Ovis aries: one gene and its partner. The protein of the gene in region 2 purifies or fractionates together with the protein of the main gene of each other region. This does not show direct contact. Links are inferred from orthologs where the notes say so. Each region holds a gene or a part of one and is shown on either strand. Other genes may lie near its edges. The genes, in order: KIF14 and KIFBP.

What was found.
Region 1: the proteins of KIFBP (region 2) and KIF14 purify together in Homo sapiens (affinity purification with mass spectrometry; 3 studies listed by BioGRID and IntAct, counting the BioPlex papers as one, with this or other methods). This does not show direct contact. The link is inferred for Ovis aries from reciprocal best matches to the Homo sapiens genes KIFBP and KIF14.

Annotation. Positions count from the first base shown.
Region 1 is NC_056065.1:78,650,692-78,653,283, reverse strand, and holds the end of KIF14 (kinesin-like protein KIF14), read left to right. Parts: coding exon 1-370; 3' UTR 371-1,881; downstream 1,882-2,592. UniProt on the Homo sapiens protein: Microtubule motor protein that binds to microtubules with high affinity through each tubulin heterodimer and has an ATPase activity. Plays a role in many processes like cell division, cytokinesis and also in cell proliferation and apoptosis.
Region 2 is NC_056078.1:24,533,345-24,537,166, reverse strand, and holds part of KIFBP (KIF-binding protein), read right to left. Parts: intron 2,844-3,822; coding exon 2,728-2,843; intron 1-2,727. UniProt on the Homo sapiens protein: Activator of KIF1B plus-end-directed microtubule motor activity. Required for organization of axonal microtubules, and axonal outgrowth and maintenance during peripheral and central nervous system development.

The DNA of each region.
Region 1 (2,592 bases), on a different chromosome or scaffold from region 2:
CCTCCAGGACTGTGTGCAGCGTCTCTGCAGCTCTGCCCGGGGTCTCCATGGCGACCGGGCTGGGTGCCCTGAGGACAGCAGAGCCCAAGCCAGCCGCCGGGAGCTGGAGTCCCGCGCCACCTCACTGCTCTTGGGCTTTGAATTTGAAGAAGGACTTGTTTTGTGGGGGCCCTGGGAAGCTTGCGATCAGGGTCCCAGAGCAGCAGAACAAGAGCAGCCCAGGTCGGACAGGCCCGGCCCCCAGAGGACCCGAGGAGTGCCCAAGCGGGTGTACGAGCTCCCGGGCCCGGCCCTGGGGGGCTCAGAGCAGGGTGTGCTGCCCACCCGGGAGAGCGCCGGGGAGGGATCTCCTCCCGCCCGAGAGCAGTAGGCCTGCTCCAGAGCCAGCCGTTCTGTGGGCAGCCTGCTGCTGGGTGTGGACGCTGGTTCCAGATGCCTGGATGTGCAGCCGCGATTCCCTGCAGACGGTGAAAGGCAGGTGCTGCCCGTGCCAGCTTCGTGGCAGTCGGCTGGAACTGGGATTCAAGACTGAGCGAGCGGTCCTTGTCGGCTGCCTGGAGGTGTTGACGGTCGCCTTTAAGGCGAGTGTGCGGCCTTGGGCTGGCTCACTAGCCTGTGTGTACTGGTCCTTATGGGGCTGTGGTGACTGATAAGTTACTTCCTCTAAGTGGACGCCTTCATGCCTGTATCTTCATTCCCTTGCAAATACAGTAGCTACGATGAGTTTTATGGGGAAGCTGCCAAAGTAAGTCTAACCAGGGCAGCTTAACCTGCCTTGTTAATCGACAGCCCTTTTCTTGGAAGATTAACTGGTTGCCATTCTGAATGGTGTGTTCAGGACAGTTTCCTGTTTCTTTGCAAATTATGAGTAGCTTCCTAATATAGTATAATTTATATTAATAACCTGGTTTGCTGCCATGCCAGCTCACTTCTATCTGCCAGGGGTTTCATGTTAGGGGCTGTGTGAATGTAACTTCAAACCGATTGAATATTAATTCAACTGTTGGATGGGGTTGGGGAATCAGAGGCCAGGTCTTCTCTTGATAACTCTAGTCTGATGAAGGCACATGGAGTTTGTACATGATTTGATGAAGATTTAAGACCTTTATTATATCTCTGAACTTAAAAAAACCTTTATCTACAATCAGATAATAGAGGTAATATTGCACTTTGGGGCTCATCCCTCAAGGAGATCATTTGACATTTCAGCTGCCGAAACGTGTGTAAATTGAAGAGATACCCAGTGACCTGGCGTGAGTGAGGTCGAGCAGGTCTTGGGCAAGAATTATTTTGAGTGCCCAGATTGCCCCTTGTCCCCCACACGTGCAGACATGCTGTGTGTGAGCCCGGCACGGCTGTGGGAGTCGGTGCCGGGGGCAGACTTATTCTCACGCGGTGACGGGTTCTTACTCATAATGCTAGTGAACCATGTGTTTTCAGGTGCTTTAAAACGGTGCAGTTTGAAAAACGTGCTCTTGTGTTTTCTTCTATTTCTGGCATCTGAGTTGCATTTGCTCTGAGGGCCCACACGCGTCTGTCATAGCAGTGCTCTGCCAAGGGGCTCTGTGCTGTCAGGTTTTAGGGAGAGCAGGAGTGCAGGCAGGGCCTCTCCTGAAGGCTGTTCCTCCTGGAGGAGCTTCCCACGGTAGTGGTGTGGTCGTTTTTAATCTTGATGCTCAGTGTTTAATCCTCACTTTCTGCTTTCTAAACTCAGGACTTCACTGGTCAGAAACCTTTTAGTGTCTTAAAATTTTGTATGTACATATATTTATACTCTGGATTGTTACACAGTATTTAAACCAACTTTGGTAAGTATATTTTCTGTTGGAATCATGTGCGCTGATGAGATGTGTTGTAATAAATGGATGCCTGTGAAAAGTCGCATCTGGGTCACCCGTCACTCCCAGGTCCCCGTCACTCCCGTGTCCACGGGCCCCTGCCCGCTCTGCCCCGCACCAGCCTCCAAGAGACTCTCCTTAATCTCTGAGCTCATCTCCTGGCTCCTCCACTCAAGAACCGCCTCCAGAATGACGCCCAGTCTCACGCGGCTCACTCCCGCCGCCAGCCTCGCGGGGCTCAGTGGGCGCTGGCCGCGCGGGCCCGTGCCCCCGGCCTCGGGTTGGTGACACGGGAACCTCCCTCCGCCGCCGCCGCTGTCGGGTCCTGCCCGGACCCCAGATCTGGAGGTCTCTCCGTCTTGTTCCCTGAGTGGTGGTGACAGGCGGGCCGGGCCCCGAGACGCCGGGAGACAGCGGCCGCGGGCCTTCGGGAGGGGACGGTGGGTCACTGCAGCGGTGCGGCGCAGTGGCCGGTGCCGGGCCGCAGGCCCCCCCACCCACAGGTTGAGACGGGCGAGGTCCGGCCTGGGAAGCGGCGGGAGGTTGGCCGGGTCTGGGCGGAGTGAAAGCCGCTGCAGGAACTGCACGTGCGCGCCTGCTGGAGGTGGGGCCTGGGGCGGGGCCAGGCGGGAAGGGCGGGGCCAGGCGGGAAGGGCGGGGCCAGGCGGGAAGGGCGGGGCCAGGCGGGAAGGGCGGGGCCAGGCGGGAAGGGCGGGGCCTGGGCCGGGGCATCTCATGGGCCATCGAAGAGACC
Region 2 (3,822 bases):
AAGAGCTGGACACAACTAAAGCGATTTAGCACTGAGCACAGTGTAGCCACTAGAAAGCTTAAAGTGACCTAAGTAGCTCGTTTCCTACTTCTATTGCTCAGCACAGCTCTACACAGCTGTCTCCATCTGTGCCCATGGTTGCAACTGTCATCCACAGGAGGAGGACCCACAAATCTTCAGGTACACCAGGCTCTTATTAGGCTCCAGACCCAGAACTAAACCGCCTCACATACCTCCTGCTCCTCTGGGGAGACTAGGACCCCTCATCCTCAATATGTCCACAATGGAACTCTCCCTCTTCCACAAACAGGTTCCTATTCGACTCTTATTTTAGTGAAGGTCACTCCCTCGATCTGGACAGCCAGCCGATGCGGGAGAATCATCCTTGATGTCTCTCTCCTCTCTTAGCCCACACTTCGTGTCTATCATCAAATCCTTTCTGTCTTGCCCCCTAAATAACCTCTTGCACCCACTCTTTTCCACCATCTCTTCTGCCACCATCCTAGCCCAAGCTCCCTTCACATCTCACCCCTACTGTTCCAGTGACCTAAGTAATCTTCCTCGTCCACGCTTGCCTTCCCTCAATCCTCCATTCTGCCACCCGAGTGATCAGTCCAAACCCTCCCACCCCTCGCCAAGGCTTCCAGTTACGGAAGGCCCGGCATGTTCCAGCCCTTCTCTAACTCGGTCTTCTATCACACATGCTCTCTCTGCTCCAGCCTCACAGGCCTTGCTCCATCATTTCCACCACCATGCTCCCTACACCTCAGAACTTTTCAACATGCTGCTTCAGCTCCTCGGAATGCTGTGCTTTTTCTCCAGTCTAGAAATTCCTACGCATTCCCAGAGCTTCCTTCAGATGTTACTTCCTCCCATTGTGACTTTTTATATCTTGTGTCTCTCCTTTGTGGAACTTACTAAAGTTGCACTTCCATATGATATAAAAAACTAGGTCTATTTTTGTTCATCATAGTACAATGACTACTATAAACCTGTCAGAAATAAATACTTAAATTTGTATATGTTATTAAACTTGAATTAAAGAAGGCTTTTCAGGTAAGCAGATGATCAAAGGATGAAGCTAAGGTAACAGCCAGATTAAAGGAAATCTGAGTAAGTTAGCAGTGTGGTCACTATGTGAGTTTAAAACAAGTAAAGTGAAGTTGCTCAGTCATGTCCTACTCTTTGCAACGCCATGGACTGTAGCCTACCAAGCTCCTCTGTCCATGGGATTTTCCAGGCAACAGTACTGGAGTGGACTGCCATACAAGCAAGTGGTAAATTCCAGTGCCCAGTCTGGAAAGCACAGACTAAAGGAATGGCAAGAGTAAGCCACAGGGCACTCTGCTTGACACAATCACTTCAAATGCAGGCCTACGCCTCTAATCTTGTTTACTTACCGTGCTTCCTGGTGGCGTCTTTATTTACACAATTTTTAGACTGCTTTCTGACCAGAAGAATGCTGACAGATCTTCCAGGCTGCAATTTCTCTAGACATAAGACTCCCGAGTTCTTCTCCCCACACCCTTCCTTTTCCAAATATGCCTCATCTTTACCCTTGACTTCCAAAGTGCTCTCACCTTTGAAACACTCCTGCTTCTGGGGTTTTGTGGTTTGTTTGCTTTTATTCTGTATAGTAGTTTCACAAGGTTCTATATTTACTAGTAAAAAATGGTTAAACTTTAATGCATGTAAACAGAAAAGAGGCATGAAACCCCTCCAGGAAAGTCTCCTGGAGAATATGCATCCAAATGATTTGTTTTTCTCTGTAGCGTTAGTCTCTCAGCCGTGTCTGACTCTTTGTGACCCCAGGGACTGTGGCCCTCCAGGCTTCTCTGCCCATGGAATTCTCTAGACAAGAATACTGGAACAGGTTGCCAGTCCCTTCTCCAGGGGAATCTTCCTGACCCAGGGATAGAATCTGGGTCTCCTGCATTGCAAGCAGATTCTTTACCATCTGAGCCACCAGAGCTCTGATTAGGAACTAGAATCCATTAAGTATGGATTAATAATAATGGTATCAACAATGATAGTTAACAGTGATTGAGGACTTAGTTACCTCTTGGACACTTTCTGAGCCCTTTATACATATTTAACTCACAGGAACACTATTAAGTACTATTATTATCTCCGTCTTACTTGTGAGGAAACTGAGACAAGAAGTTAACTGCCACACAGACACAGCCACCAACTAGCAGGGCTGTTTCCAGATACAGTCATACTTATCCTTTTATCAGCATATATATTTACTGTCTAAAGTATATAAAGATTAGTAAGATTTCCTGCCATCAGGTTGCTTACAGTCTAAGAAGAGGTAAAGGAATAAGATAAGAATATGAGTAACAATAATAAAAAGTCAAGTGACTTAGGGAGGGCTCTTGAGGGAGAAGAGATCCGTAGGGTTTAAGAACTGTATATACATTCAATAGTTTTTGAGCACCTGTTACGTCTAGAAATTGGTAAATAGTATGAATATGATGAAGACTCCCCTCTGGTGGGGCTTATGCTCTATCCAATGGCAAGTCTTGAAGCAAGAGGTGCTGTTTGAGACAGCCTTAATGGAAGAGTAAGATTTGAACAGGATGAGACAGGGAAAGCAAGAAATAAGCTTTCCGCACGCCACGAATAACACACATGCAGCGAGCCCAATGAGCACACTTCCCATTTCAAGCTTTTACTTACATCCTACTGTTTTAAGACAGAAAACATCACTTTTGACCGTATTACCTGCATGGAAAGCTGGGCATTCTGCATGAGAGTCAAACAGTACTTGATCCAGCATCTTGCTATTTCCCCTTTCCTCTGGTGATAAAGCTCTGGCACATCTCCTTCAGCTTCCGTAGCTAAAAGGTACAACGTGACTTGTGTGAGCCAATGGTCACAACTGTAATTTTCACTGTGTACACCATTCTTCTTTATATCGCTCTTGATTATAAAAATACCAAGTCCTACCTGAAGCAGCGGCAAGAAACTCACCCAAAATTCCTACCACCCAGAGGTTCTTTCTAGTTTTTTTCTTTTGTATCACCTACAGGTAGAAACTAAGGTTACCACATACATTAAATTTTGAGTACAAGCACCTCAGATATTGCAAGATTGGTTCCAGATCACTGCAATAAAATGAGTCTCATGAATTTTTGGTTTTCTGTGGCTTATAAAAGTTAAGGTTTGCACTATGGTGTAGTCTATTAAGTATGCAATAGCATTGTCTTAAAATGTACACATTTTAATTAAAAAATACTTTATTGCTAAAAAAAATGCTAAACATCATTTAAGGCTTCAGAGAGTCATAATCTTTTTTGCTAGTTAGAGGGTCTTGCCTCATTGATGATAGCTGACTGATCAGGGTACTGGTTACTGAAGGCTGGGGTAGGGAGGATGTAGCACTTCCTTAAAAAGAGACAACAGAGAAGTTTGCTGCACTGATGGACTCTTTCTTCCAGGAACACTGTCTCCTGTAGAATGCAATGCTGTTTGATAGCATTTTACCCACAGTAGAACTTCTCTCAAAATCAGTCAATCCTCTCAAACCCTGCCACTACTTTATCAAGTTTATGTAATATTCTAACTCCTTTGTTGTCATTTCAACAATTTTCACAGTATCTTCACCTGAAGTAGACACCATCTCAAGAAACCACTTTCTTTGCTCATCCCTAAGAATCAAGTCCTCAGCTGTCAAAATTTAGCATGAGATTATAGCAACTCAGACAAACCTTCAGGTTCAACATTTTAAAAGTATTTATTTAGCTATGTATTCAGCTGCACTGGGTCTTAGTTGTGACACATGAGAGCTTGTGGCATATAGAATCTAACTGCCTGAAA